3 linked regions of the Oryctolagus cuniculus genome follow. Each later gene encodes a partner of the first gene's protein in a complex. Links are inferred from orthologs where the notes say so. Each region holds a gene or a part of one and is shown on either strand. Other genes may lie near its edges.

The links.
Region 2: CWC15 (region 1) and PPIL2 share a complex: the UniProt entries of both Homo sapiens proteins name them as parts of the minor spliceosome. The link is inferred for Oryctolagus cuniculus from reciprocal best matches to the Homo sapiens genes CWC15 and PPIL2.
Region 3: CWC15 (region 1) and SF3B5 share a complex: the UniProt entries of both Homo sapiens proteins name them as parts of the minor spliceosome. The link is inferred for Oryctolagus cuniculus from reciprocal best matches to the Homo sapiens genes CWC15 and SF3B5.

What each region holds. Positions count from the first base shown.
Region 1 is NC_091432.1:86,201,920-86,207,881, forward strand, and holds the start of CWC15 (spliceosome-associated protein CWC15 homolog), read right to left. Parts: upstream 3,788-5,962; 5' UTR 3,647-3,787; intron 2,614-3,646; 5' UTR 2,606-2,613; coding exon 2,475-2,605; intron 1,611-2,474; coding exon 1,498-1,610; intron 1,110-1,497; coding exon 1,021-1,109; intron 26-1,020; coding exon 1-25. UniProt on the Homo sapiens protein: Involved in pre-mRNA splicing as component of the spliceosome. Component of the PRP19-CDC5L complex that forms an integral part of the spliceosome and is required for activating pre-mRNA splicing.
Region 2 is NC_091452.1:29,125,888-29,131,002, reverse strand, and holds the start of PPIL2 (RING-type E3 ubiquitin-protein ligase PPIL2), read left to right. Parts: upstream 1-1,389; 5' UTR 1,390-1,575; coding exon 1,576-1,607; intron 1,608-3,312; coding exon 3,313-3,362; intron 3,363-5,074; coding exon 5,075-5,115. UniProt on the Homo sapiens protein: Has a ubiquitin-protein ligase activity acting as an E3 ubiquitin protein ligase or as an ubiquitin-ubiquitin ligase promoting elongation of ubiquitin chains on substrates.
Region 3 is NC_091436.1:24,439,666-24,443,088, reverse strand, and holds SF3B5 (splicing factor 3B subunit 5), read right to left. Parts: upstream 2,159-3,423; 5' UTR 2,015-2,158; coding exon 1,754-2,014; 3' UTR 1,427-1,753; downstream 1-1,426. UniProt on the Homo sapiens protein: Component of the 17S U2 SnRNP complex of the spliceosome, a large ribonucleoprotein complex that removes introns from transcribed pre-mRNAs.

The DNA.
Region 1 (5,962 bases):
CCTCTTCAAAATCTTCATCTTCCTCCTAATAAGAACAGATAGCCCAGGAGATTGGTGAGAAAATACACATTATTCATTTTTTTTTTTCCACAAAAATTGCCCTTGCCAAGTAACTTTGGGGCAGAATTAAGTTTCTCCATGGCAAAGATAAATGCACCTAAATACTAAGATTAAAATCAACAACCAAATTACAACAAAATATAAAGTCCCACAGAAGAAGTTTACAAATACTCAAAAATGTCAATCCCTGACAAAATACCTTTCAAATTTACATGGCTAAAAAAAATTTCCATCTGAGAAGGTTTCCAAAACCAGAGAGGAAAATTTTACACTGAAACACTGTATAAATGCACACTGTATCACTCTAAAGAGTCAAAACACTTTATGTAGCTCAGAACAACTTTAAACCAGCAAGGATAATCAATAGCATGAACAGAATGCCAAATTTCTAGAAGAAAATATTTTGAAATGAATAATCATTTAAGTTTCATGTAAAATCAGTATTCTATTTAATTACTGTAACTCCGTCAAGTCTAGAATTAATTGCTTATATACATAATTAGAAACTATCCATGAAAAGCCATTCAGATTTTTTTCATTGTCTATAGAAACCTACAAATTAATTACAGACTGTAGGGTCTCCATGGATTTCAATATTAACTGAGAGGGTACTGTTTATGGAAAACCTAGTATAAGAGTACCCTGTGAATAACCTGGTAGCCCCACCTCTAGGTTTAATACAGGAAATTATTTTGGGGGGAAAGTACACATTTCAACAGATTGCTTCCATTTTTGGTTCTTCATAGATCAAATTTGTTTGTGAAGTTCTTAACACAAAATAACATCTTTTATTTTAAAGTCAACTGCAAAGTTTAACATTGAGCTTAGGGCTGCATTTGAACAATAGTGAGTGAAAACAAACACATGTGACTTCTTAAATACAAAAGCATAAAAATATATTTCAGAAAAATGCAGTAAAAAATGACTAGATAAGAGGTGAAAGTAGGAAATGAAACATACGTCTGTTAAAGGATCATCTGCGTCAAGGTTGGCAGCAGGAATCTGGTCTAACCGAGGCTTCTTGGATACTGAAGAGGAAGTTGTATGTTCTGGGGGTAGGCAAACATCACCTAGTTACTGACACACGTTTCTTACGATTCAGGGACTCATGGGCACAAAACAATCACACTAAAAGCATCCCAGCAGCAGGGCTCATACAGTGGCTAGCAGATAAGCATTTGGATAAATATTTATCGAATGACTTAATGAAAGCACTGATTTTATACAGGAACTGCGGCCTCAGGAAATTCAGGGAATAGTTTATACATGTTGGGAACCTAAACCTGATCATCACTTCTAGGCTAGTTAAGAAAGCACTGTAATTCACACTAATACTTAAAAGCAAACAAACAGAAATATTAACAGTTTCTAATTAACACATAAAAAAATATGGAGAACATAATTTTATGAGACAAACGTTTGGGATAGCGTTAGTACCCCGGGTTGGACGATCCCTATTTTTCTCTCTGGCAGCAGCTCTCTCTCTCTCTTCCAGCTCTCTCCTGAAGTCCCGGTTACGAACCTCTTCAGGGGCATCCTGAGTAGTTTGCCTAAATTATAAACCAATCAGGGTCAAAAGGTTACTAGAAAGAAAAAAATACATGGCTGTAGCAATGAAATATAATTCATCACAGCAACTTTGTCCTTTAAGCCTAAGAGGAAAGTTGTCAGAATTATGACACAATCTGAAGGTTGAACTGCATACTTTCCCATAATACAGCTACAGATTTATTATAATGTCCTTAATTTTTTGAACTATGCACTTGGCTCAGTGGTTATGGTGTTGTTTGGGACACTCCATAAAGGAGTGTCTGGGTTTGAGACTCATCTTTATTCTCCATTCCAGCTTCCCAGTAATGTGAACTCTGGAAGGCAGAAGGTGATGGTTCAAGTACTCAGGTCCCTGTCATCTACCACATGGGAGACACAGATTGAGTTCTTGGTTCCTGGCTTAAGTATGGCCCAGCCCTGACAGTTGCAGGCGTTTGGGGAGTGAACCAGCAGATGGGGGATCTCTTTCACTCCGCTCTTCAAATAAAATAAATAATTTTTTCCCTAAAAGCAGGTATTTAATTGTTGTATTATTAGAAATTCAGGGCCTGTTACAGTAACGCTTTCAATGTCATGTTGACTAATGCTGGTAAGTGCATAGTTTCTCTGAGATAATCCACTAGCTACCATTCCATCTCCATATGGAAACTCCTGGATAATAAGAATTTGGGCTGCAGGAAGGGGATAGAACTTTAAAATCACAGAGTGTAATTTTGATGTTAAACTTTCTATTGTATTCTATTCCTCTGAAAATGGTAACTGAAGTGATACAATTCAAACCTACCCCTACTACACATCATGGCCATGCTTTTCAACAGATTAGGCCTATTTCATGAGCAAGAAAAAGCTGCGAGTCTTTATACCTATATTTTATCTTTGTATGGGAAGGTAAGTCTCGGCTGGAATACTGCTTTGAGAGTTGGCTCAGATCACCTTCCCCTTTTCCTCTTCCACCTCTTGCAGGTTCAAAAGTTGGTCTGGCTGCTGTCGTCATCTTTGACGCTATGGGGGAAAACAAAGTTGTTTCTAATGCGACATACTTTCACTGTGTAAGGTACTAAACAAATATCCATCCTTGTGAAATAATCTCAAAACTTGCTTCAATAACCCTCCCAAACCAAAGTTCTGAAGGAAACCAATTATGAGGTGCAAGGGCAGCTTTTATCTCACACCAAAAATTCTGTGGTGAAGACCTGAGTTTCTGCTCCTGTTCCCCTTCTGTGTGGCCTTGGACAAGTGACCAATCTTTCATTTATAGAATGGGGCTATTCCTCAAAGAATTATGAGATCCCACATGTCAAAGCCCTAAAAGTTCTCAGTTTAAACCTTAGTTTAAATGTCCTTAAGGAAAAGACAAAAAGAAAGAAAATTTAAAAATCACTGACAAACTCTTAAGTGTCCCAGAGGTAAGTGTGCTGAAAATCAGTGGGAAACATTCTCCAACAATCTTGTGGATTCGATTTTCTCCTGGGACAGTCCTCACAACATACACGTCAGGCTACAATTTAAGAAATGCTCCAATGACAGAAACCTAATCCTCAAAGGAATCTGATAACGGAAAGAATACTGCCCAGCTGATGGGGCTACTAAGAGCCCAAAAGCCCGTTAACGTCAGAAAAGCAAGTGTCTGGGGAGGGTGCAGAAGACGGCAGGATTATTTTGTATGCTTCCCTCGGTTTCCAAAAGGCCGTGAAAGCCTGCGTAAGGAGAGAGAGAAGCAGGTTTTCTAGGGTCGGGGGCGCCGCCGCTTCCCAAAAGCTTCAGGTTGATCACTCCGGCCGCCCGGGAGCCCGCCTTTCGCCTGGCTGGCCTGCTTCAAGCCCCGGCTTAAAGCCACAGAGGGCAGAGCTTCGTTCCGCGCTGGAGGCCGGGGGCTGCGGGCGCGCCCGGCCGGCACCGGGCTCCACCGCCCGTCCGCGGCTCCCGGTCTTTCCCGCCGGCGCTCGGCACTCGGCCAACGCCAACTCTGACCCCGACTGCCGTCTCCCACGCCACCCGGATAAGAAACACAAACTGCTCTCCCCGTGCCGCTCACCTAGGAAGACGTCCGATACTACACTCACGGAAAATCATACAGACGCCATTGTGCTTGATAGCTCCCAGAAACCTCTGCGCCCAGGGCCAAAGCCCAAGACCCGGAAGCAAAACCCGAGCATTTTTAACCGCCCCAAAGAGGTGGCGGCAACGACCAATCCTCAGAGGCCAAAGTGGAAGTCGGTGTGACGACATCAAGGGGCGGGGCTGAAACGGCCCAGGGGGCGGGCATTTGAAATCAGTGCTTTAGAGCAGACCTTGAACATCATCTTACGCTTTCGAGAGCCAGTTACTTAATGTCTCTTCCGTCTTTCCCTTCCCCAACCCCCCCTCCCAGACTCCTTCATTCCGGCACTGCGTGGATGGAAAACCCGGTGTAGCCGACACCACATCCATGGCTAGCGGGAGAGAGCGTGCAAAGGGATTTCACCAAACAGTTTAAATCCAACGATTCTGTTTCCATCCTTTCTCCTGAGCTAGAGCCAACAAGCCTAGAAAACTAGGCTGCGGAAACACTAGTGTTTTCATTTAATTGGATATGAAGAAAGAACAAATATGTGCGGGGGCAACCACGATCTTTATAAAGGTACCATTCCTGCAAAAATATTAGACTTCACAGCAAAGGTTGTATTCGTATTGTTTGCTAAGTTTTTTTTTTTTTTTTCCCTTTAAAATGCCCTTAAGTTCTGTGAGAGGGGAGATGTCAGCATTAGCGTTTACGACCTTGAACGTTTAGAACGGTGGGCCCAACCGCCAGTGGCACGGGGTGGAATTATTAAGATGGCTACTGATGCATTAGGGGAGGTTGTAGTAAGACCAGGAAAAGGCAAAAAGTAAATCACCAGTCGTTTTTCTTTCTCCCCTGAGAAACAAGCACTCTGAGAGCAGGGATCTTGTTTGTTTAGTCCTTCCTGGTAGAGTGTCACACATGGTAGTATCCTGCGCAGTATTTGTTAAACCAGTGAAAATTTAAGTTTTCCCAATTTAGTGTCAAAATTGAACATTGAAGGATTTTTCCTGAAAATTCTTTCTTTGAAACTTTTAAGTGAAACCAATGTAGAAAAAGCGCCTTCCTCTGTAAGGTTCAAGTTGGAAAATTTTGTGTGTGTTTGCTTTTTCTTTCAAATATATTCCTCCCCAAGTCCTGCACATCAGTAAAGGATGCAGCCATCACACTAGTTACTCAAACCAAAAACCCCAGGGCACCTACTTAACAGTTGCTTTTGCTTCACTATTCACATCCTGTTCCTTCGCAAGTCTTGTCAAAATTTACCCTAAATTCCATTCCACAATCATGATCTCATCAAAACCACCATCATCTTCCACCTGGATAGTGATTAATCATAGCTAGCATTCCTCACTTGCATAAAACCCCCTGCACTTAGATTAAAGACCACCTTTCTCACCGTGGCCTGTGGAGTCTGGCTCCTGCCTTATCTCCCTGATTTCACTCTGAAGCAGTCATTGTTACACACCAGACTCTCCATGGCTGGAGGTGCAGCTACGTGGGCATTTCTGTTTCATAAAATAAGGCAGGATTGGTCCTTACCTTAGAACTTTATAGTGGCTTTTCTCTGTTGCCTATAGTCCAAGATAACTGTTGCCATCCTTCAAGTAGCAGTTCAAATGCTACCTCCCCAGGGAGATTTTCCCTGACCTCTGCATTTGCATCCCCGCCCCTCCAGCATGCAAAGTCGTATCATTATCCTGCTTCATACCAGTGAATACTACCTGAACCTGTTCTGTTCCTTCTTTATTGCTTTGTTGCTTGTCTGAGAGGCAGCATAGCAAAGCCATTAAGCGAAAGCCCGACTGTCTTGGTTCTAAACTCCAGTTCTGCCCTTTTGTAGCTGTATAACCTTAGGCAAGTTATTTTCCCTTTCTAATGCGCTCAGTTTCCTCATGTATAAAATGGAGAAAATTCTAGTTCCTACTTCATAATGTGACTGTAAGAATGAATATTTGTAAAGTGCTTAGAACTGTCTCAGCAAATAATACTTGCTAAGTAAATGTTAGCTATTATTATTAATATTATTTTATTATTGTTGTCTATCTTCTTGTATTAGAACATAAGTTCCAGGAAAGCAGGAATCTTGTCTGTCTTGCTCACTGGTGTGTTCTCTGCATATAGAGCTGTGCCTGACACTTAATAGGTGCTGAGTAAGTATTTTCTGAATGAATGAATGAATGAATGATGCACTATGAAATAGAGGAATGTAGCAGCGATGGCAAGATGGTAACACAATTATAGCAAATAGTTTTTATGTTCCAGCTGCCCTTTTCAACCCTGCATGAATCACTTTAATCTGTTTAATTC
Region 2 (5,115 bases), on another chromosome or scaffold:
CCAGCTCTGGCCATTGTGGCCATTTGGGGAGTGAACCAGAGAATGGAAGATATTTCTCTCTGTGTAACTCTGCCTTTCAAGTAAAATAAATTTTAAAAATGTTCAATTAGGGCCGGCACTGCGGCTCACTAGGCTAATCCTCCGCCTTGTGGCGCCGGCACACCGGGTTCTAGTCCCAGTCAGGGCGCCGGATTCTGTCCCGGTTGCTCCTCTTCCAGGCCAGCTCTCTGCTGTGGCCAGGGAGTGCAGTGGAGGATGGCCCAGGTGCTTGGGCCCTGCACCCCATGGGAGACCAGGATAAGTACCTGGCTCCTGCCATCGGATCAGTGTGGTGCGCCGGCCGCAGCGCGCTGGTCGTGGTGGCCATTGGAGGGTGAACCAGCGGCAAAAGGAAGACTTTTCTTTCTGTCTCTCTCACTGTACACTCTGCCTGTCAAAAAAAAAAAATGCTTAATTAGGGCATCATCCCATATCCTGAAAGGGGCGACCCCAGCTTTGCGGGGGCAGTACCCTTCCTTCTCATGAAGAGAGGTTGCCTCTTCGCCATCTGAGTACCTAAATCCTGCTTTCCCGTACGCCCTTAGGGTGTTCCTCCAATTACTTCACCGAGTGGAGACAAGAACTTGGAGCAGGTGCAGCCAGGAGTGTCCAGCATATTGCAAAATGGCAGTGGGGGGCCCTCCTGCCCAGACGTGTAGGTACCATACATCTTTCACGCCTCGCATCTTCCGTAATGACTGCGAACCCCTCCCATGGGCAGAGGATTCGGTATGAGAATGAAGCTCAGGTAAGGTCATGGAGATCTGACTCAAACTATGGGATTCCTCTTAGGCTGAGGGTCTGGCCCCTCCCAGGGCAGTGCTGGAACATTCTTTGAAAAGCAAGCTCAGCAGTTGAGATTGGTCTGCCCCTCCTCCCGGTTCTGCCTCAATCCTAGGCCTTCAGTTACAAAATTTGGGTGACCCGGTGGCTGGCAGTCCGTTCAGGAGACAGGAGAGTAAGGAGGCAGCGGGACAAGAATTCTGCTTTCTCAGCAGGCGTGTTAAATCCGAGATCAGTGGTTTGAGAGTCCACAGCGCCGGCACCTCAGCTTGGCGAGTCCCGAGACGCAAGTGCTGCTGGCCAGGGTCACCCGGGGCCCCAGCGTTGGACCCAAAGTGGCTCAAGAAGAGACAGAAGGGACCAAGCGACGGTCCATGGCCACCTGTCGCTGGGCTGCCGAGGGGCGTGGAGGCTGTCGGACACAATGCACTCTGGGAATGGGATACGAGCGAGCAGGCAGCTAAATGGGGCGGTGCGAGGAGAGAACAGCTCCGCCAAGAAAGAGGGGGCTCAAGCTAGCGCGGCCTCCCTCAGTCCAGGGTCTCAGGTACCACACCGCGCCCAGACCCCGTTGGAGCATGCGCACTCGGCGGCAGGGAAACCCGACAGTTCCCGGCATGCCAAGCGCCCGCTTCCGGCGTGGGCCCGCGGATCCCGGAAGTAGCTGCCCGACTACTCGGCGGCGTCTGTGGGCTCGCGGTTGCTGGCCGTGACTTTTCCGCGCTCGAAGACCCCACCGCCGCGCTCGCCGCCATGGGGAAACGCCAGCACCAGAAAGACAAGATGTACGTGGAACCGCGTCGGGGGAGCGGCTCGCCGCTGCGCGCCCGGCCCCGCGCTTGGCCGGGGCTTCGCGTCGCTCCTCTTCCCTCGCAGAGTCGAGTCCCCAGGACTCCTCCCGGAAGCCCCCTGCCCACTCCCCAGGCCGGGCAGTGACACCGCTGCCCCCAGCCCCTGCGGTAGCCCGGGGATCCGGCAGCCGCGTCTCGGGCCCCCCGGGGTTGGAAGCGAGCGAGCCCCGGCCGCCGTCGCGTTTCTTCGCCTTTTCCGAGTGACGAGCCCCGGTCTGCTGCTGTCTCTCGAGTCCGCTGGGGCCAGGCTTTCACAGCCCCTGTCCCCCGCCTTGAGTCCTTGTTGCCGAGCTTGGGGTCATCCAGTCATTTCTCAAGCCCGTGGCGTTGACCTCTGCGATCTCGCGTGCGTGGTTTTCCCGCAAACTTCAGCGGCCTCCCCTTTTCTCGGGTTCGTCGGCCGGGCCCCCTCCTCCCGTTTCTCCCAGGCCTCACAGGTTACTGTCTGTGGCGGGGGTCTTGAAGCAGTCTGTTCAGCCCGGCATCTCCGCTTCGGCGGTCTGATACAGACCGCATTTTAATCTGATCATCGGAAATAGAACCCAGCCCTGGAGTTTGCCTCTCTCCTTCCTGTCTCAGTGATAGGCTGAGAATTAAAAAAAATTTTTTTTTAAAGATATTTGTATTGATGTGAAATGCGGAATGACACAGGGAGAGAAAGAAAGATCTACCATGCACTGGTCCAGTCCCCCAAGTGCCCCACAGCCAGGGCTGGGCCAGGAACTCCATGCAGGTCTCCCACGTGGGTAGTAGGGACCCCAAGTGACTTGAGCCATCCTCTGCCGCCCCCCAGGTGCCTTGGCAGGGAGCTGGTCAGAAGCAGAGGGGCGGGGTCTGATTCCAGGCGCTCTGGTACGGTATGCGGGTGGCAGCCTCACTCACCGCACCACAGCGCCCACCACAGACAGGGTTTTCCGACCTTACCGTGGTGTGAAAGCAATGTGTGCTGGGGGCCAGTGCTGTGGCGTAGTGGGTAAAGCTGCCACCTGCAGTGCCGGCATCCCAGATGGGCACTGGTTCGAGTCCTGGCTGCTCCTCTTCTCATCCAGCTCTCTGTTGTGGCCTGGGAAAGCAGTAGAAGATGGCCCAAGTCCTTGGGCCCCTGCACCCACGTGGGAGACCCGGAGGAAGTGGTCAATTCCTGGTGGATTTTCTGCTGCTGCTCTGGCTGTCTTCCTACGCACAGCAGCCAGGGCGAGGCTTTGCGGCTGATGTCAGATCCTGCCTAGCAGGGCCCTGGCTCCGAACCCTCCGTGGTCTCCCACCCACTGAGGAAGACCTGCGAGGCCCCTCCCCATCCGTCTTCCTCCGCTGCCACCCGCCGGTGCCCGCAGCTCCCCAGCGACATCTGTCTGTTCTTCCTGCCTTGGGCATCGGTACCCGCTGTGGCTGCGGGCCCCGCCCGTGTGTCTGCCTGGAGGGCTCTTCCCCCAGGTCTGCCCGTGCCGGCCGCTCTCATGTGTCAGGTCTTCCTGGGTGAATCACCTCCTTTCCTTCTGAGCAGCGCAGGGCCGTCTGTGTTTATTTATTTATGGGTTTGTGCAGCCCCGTGTCTGCCGTGTTCACCCCTGGCTGGCCAGTGGCAGCGTAGTGATATCTCTCCCTCCCTCTCCCCGTCCCCTCCCCCTCCCCCTCTCAGGTACATCACCTGTGCTGAATACACTCACTTCTATGGTGGCAAGAAGCCAGGTAAGGCATGGGAGTCTTCTCTGCCCCGAGGACAGGGGTGTACAGAGGATGGGTGGCCCCATTATACAGGCAGCCCGTGGTCTGTGCAGGACAGCTGGGCCGAGGACTCCATTCACGGAAGAGGAAAGATGCCCCACCCACTGGCGATTTTTTTAAAAATATGGCTTAAAATAACCAAAGTGCTCCAGGCTGTGGTGAAAAGAACCCTGGTCTACATTTTTTCTTTTTCTTTTTCTTTTTTTTTTTATTTCAAAGTCAGAGTTACCAGAGAGAGAAGGAGAGGCAAAGAGAGAGGCAGAGAGAGAGAGAGAGAGGTCTTCCATCTGCTGGTTCACTCCCCAATTGGCCGCAACAGCTGGAGCTGGACTGATCTGAAGCCAGGAGCCAGGAGCTTCCTCCAGGTCTCCCACGTGGGTGCAAGGGCCCAAGGGTTTGGGCCATCTTCTACTGCTTTCCTAGGCCATAGCAGAGAGCTGGATCAAAAGAGCAGCCAGGACTTGAACTGGCACCCATAAGGGATGCCGGCACTGGAGGCGGCAGCTTTACCCCCTACACTACAGTGCTGGCCCTCTTTTTTTTTTTTAAGATCTAGTTATTGGCCGGCGCCGCGGCTCACTAGGCTAATCCTCCACCTGCAGCGCCAGCACACCAGGTTCTAGTCCCAGTCGGGGCTCCGGATTCTGTCCCGGTTGCTCCTCTTCCAGTCCAGCTCTCTGCTGTGGCCCAAGTGCTTGGGCCCTGCACCTGCATGGGAGACCAGGAGAAGCACCTGGCTCCTGGCTTCGGATCAGCGCCGTGCGCCAGCCGCAGCACACTGGCTGCAGAGGCCACTGTGGGGTGAACCAATGGAAAAGGAAGACCTTTCTCTCTGTCTCTCTCTCTCACCGTCCACTCTGCCTGTCAAAAAGAAAAAAAAAAAAAAGATTTAATTATTTATTTGAGAGTCAGAGTTACAGACAGAGGGAGAGACAGACAGATCTTCCATCCACTGACCCACTCCCCAAATGGCCACAATGGCTGATCCGAAGCCAGGAGCTTCATCTGGGTCTCTGACACTGGTGCAGGGGCCCATGCACTTGGGTCATCTTCTGGTGCTTTCGCAGGCCACAGCAGAGAGCTGGATCAGAAGTAGAGCAGCCAGGACCGGTGCTGTGGCGCAATGGGTTAACACCCTGGCCTGAAGTGCTGGCATCCCATACAGGCGCCGGTTCAAGACCTGGCTGCTCCTCTTCCAGTCCAGCTCTCTGCCATGGCCTGGGAAAACAGTAGAAGATGGCCCAGATCCTTGGGCCCCTGCACCCACATGGGAGACCCAGAAGACGCTCCTGGCTCCTGGCTTTGGATTGGCACAGAAGACCTCTCTCTCTGCCTCTCCTCTCCCTGTGTAATTCTGACTTTCAAATAAATAAATAAATCTTTAAAAAAAAAAAAAAATGGAGCAGCCAGGACTTGAACTGGCGCCCACATGGGATGCTGGCACTGTAGGCAGCGGCTTAACCTACCACGCCATAGCTCCGGCCCCTGTTGTAATTTTCACGCTCTCTCCAGCTCCTCCTCTGTCCACGCCCTCCCTGTGTTTGGTGCCCACGGCAGTGGCGGTGCTAAGTACTTGAGCACTCCTTTTCCCATAAGACAGCGGTGCTTGTGGGCAGGTACACGGAGTGGAGCTATTTGACACAGCCGGTGTTCCCCTTTTGTTCCCCACAAAACAGATCTCCCCCAGTCAAATTTCCGCCGTTTACCCTTCGACCAC
Region 3 (3,423 bases), on another chromosome or scaffold:
CCCCATGGGAGACCAGGAGAAGCACCTGGCTCCTGATCAGCGCAGTGCACTGGCCGCAGCACGCCGGCCACGGCGGCCATTGGAGGGTGAACCAACGGCAAAGGAAGACCTTTCTCTCTGTCTCTCTCACTGTCCACTCTGTCAAAAAAAAAAAAAAAAAAAAAAAAACAACAAAAAAACAAACAAACAAAAAAAAAACAGAAAAACAAAAAACTGCAAGCCTCTCTGCTCTCAGGCCCTAGCATCTTCTAACACTTGCTGATTATGCCAACACTTTGGCGTTGTTTACCAGCATAATGTAAGCCCCCAAAGTATAGCAAAAAGCCTATCACATAAAACCCAACAAATACGTTAGGTGACGAAAGAACAACTTGCTTGCCAGCTTGTCATTTCTGAAGAACAGTCAGAAATTCCCAAGGGATGCGGTTTAAAATGAAAGAAAAAGGTAGAATAATAAAAAAAACCTCAAACCTGAAGGCACTATGGATCTGAAAATTTTTTTTCAGGTAAATCTGAGTTCTGAACACAAGGAGGCTTCACAAAGTTGATGGAAAAATGGAATTAGAAGTCGAACTTTCTAGGGGCTTTTAAAATTTCATTTATTTTGCCGGCGCCGCGGCTCACTAGGCTAATCCTCTGCCTAGCGGCACCGGCACACTGGGTTCTAGTCCCGGTCGGGGCGCCGGATTCTGTCCCGGTTGCCCCTCTTCCAAGCCAGCCCTCTGCTGTGGCCAGGGAGTGCAGTGGAGGATGGCCCAGGTGCTTGGGCCCTGCACCCCATGGGAGACCAGGAAAAGCACCTGGCTCCTGGCTCCTGCCATCGGATCAGTGCGGTGCGCCGGCCGCAGCGCACCGGCCGCGGCGGCCATTGGAGGGTGAACCAACGGCAAAGGAAGACCTTTCTCTCTGTCTCTCTCTCTCACTGTCCACTCTGCCTGTCAAAAATAAAAAAATTAAAAAAAATAATAAAATTTCATTTATTTTAAAGTTAGAAATACAGAGTCGGAGAAAGAGAATCTTCCATCTGCTGGTTCACTCCCCAGATGGCAGCAATGGCCAGGGCTGGGTTAGACTGAAACCTGGAGCTTCTTTCGGGTCTCCCACATGGGTGCCTGTGGCCCAAGCACTTGGGCTACCCTTCTCTGCTTTCCCAGGAGCATTAGCAAGAAGTTGGATCAGAAGTGCAGGGGCCAGGCCTCCAACCAGCTGCCCATATAGGATGCTGGCACTGCAGGCGGAGGCTTAACCTTCCAGGGGCTTTCTGAAGCTCCCCAAAGGGCATGCTGGGCGGATTTCAGTGCCTGGCAAGGCAGGCTGGTTCTGTGCCCTCCACCCACCCTCTCCTACTTGCACACGCACAGAACCTTTGGTTCCGAGTCCTCCCCAGCCTTCTCCCCTGGAACACAAACAGATCACACCAAGAGACTTAACAGATTCTAAACTTTATGAAAAAGGCAACGCGACAATCAACTAAGTCAAACACGAGCCTCCAAATCCCCTCACTCCAGTGCCGTCTTCCCCAACGCCCGCCAGCTCTCGGACCTCTTCACCCGCAGTTCTCAGGGAGCCCCGGCGGTCCTGGTGCTGCGTCCCGAGGGATCCACGTGAAGACAGCACCGGCGGGACACCTCGGCGAGCACTTCTGCACCCGGAAGGCCGGAGAAGCAAGGAGTCGCGGAAGAACCAGTCCACTGGAGACAGGAACGCGCGGGCAACGCCGGCGATCGGGAGGCTCGCTGGAGGAGGCGCCGTCTCAGTTTTCCTCGGGCTTGTCAGCGGGGGGGCCGCAAGGCTGCAGCATCTTCTCCATCAAGTTGAAGCGCACTCGCGCTTTGCTCTCATTCTCCGCGATGGCGAAGTAGTTGAGAAGGTCGAAGTGGCCCATGTAGGAGCAGTAGGAGTCGCGGTGCTGGTTCACCAGCCACTCCCACTTGGTGGTGTCGGCGTGGCCCGTGCCGATGTACTTGGACTGCAGGTGCTCCAGCTGGCTGTGGATGGTGTAGCGGTCTGTCATCTTGCCGCTTTCCCTTTCGCTCCGAAGTCAGAAGTCGCACGAGGGTTAGGAACCGGTCTCGGGTTTCCCGCCGGAGAAAGGCCAGCACACGGAACCGGCAGCCTCGCTCAGTCGCAGAGAAATTGCGTCACAGCGACGGAGTGGCGGAGGACGCGGAAGCGGAAGCACATTTTGAAGCCGTATTGGAGTTGCCCTAGCGACACTGAAACTGTCCCGCCCCTTTAACAGAGTCCCGCCCCCCGCCCTCGGAGAGCGTTGCATGATGGTCCACTTGGTGGTCCGTGGGTGGCCCTGTACTGACGTAGCGTCTTGCATGCTGGGATTTGTGGTCTCTTCCGAGACCGCGGTTTAAGAGCTGAATGGAGGGCAGAACCCCAGAGGCGGGGAGCATGCGTTGTCGGCCCGGTGCTAAGAGAAAGTGGGCCAGTGGGCCAGTGGCACAGGCAACCAAGAAAATAAACCCTTGGTGTAATTAGGCGCTGACGAGGCGGCACGGTAGCCCCTTCACAATCGGGTGGCTTACTGAGGTCGGCAGACGCGACCTCTGGTCCCACGCTCTAGCGGGGCCGCCGTTCCCGTTCGGTGACCCTGCACAGCCCCGGGGCCGAGTCGCTTGGGCGCCCCCGGCGCACACTCCTTCGGTCTCGCCTCTCGGGCTGGTGGCCCCCGGCGACTCCACGCCGACCCCCACGACCCCGGCCCGCACTCGGCCAGGTGCCGCGCGCGCCCGCGTCCCCTTCGGAGCCGTTAGCGCCCGCGGGAAAGGCTTTGTTCCCGCGGCGACGCGTCTGCCTTCGGTTGGCTCCTCCTTTGCATCTGATTTTCGCTTTATGTTTTACCTTTTGGTTTAAAATTCACGGCGGTAGAAATACTTGAGGAAAAAACAAACCCATACTTATCTTAGGATATCCTTTTTGGATATTCGTACAGCCTGATAGATTGTGTTCTCCAAAAAACAGTTGAGGGATAGAGAGACAACTACAGCCAAAGAGAGGAACGCTGCCCGGAGAGCAAGAACTTTAAAAAGCAGTTTTGTTTTGCTCTTTTCAGCTTGACAATTCATTCCTAAAGTGTGGAAAATTTATAAGGTATATCTTTGGCTTCATCCTCTAGGTGTATCAAACCTTGACATTTTGCCGTATTTGTCCTGATTTTGTTTTGATTTTTAAGAGATAAATTCTGCAAATAAACGTTCTCCGCGTTCCCTTCCCTCATCTCTTGGACACTGTCCTGGATTTAATGTCAATCATTCTGTTTTCCAATTGCTGAAAGTTTGTGTATCCATAAACAATAGCTGATAGGCATGGTTTAAACCTATGAGTAGCATATATAATGCTGTAAAAGTTGCTTTTACTCTTGTCAGTATCCTCATTGATATATGAAACTTTAATTCTTTTATACTGTTCAAT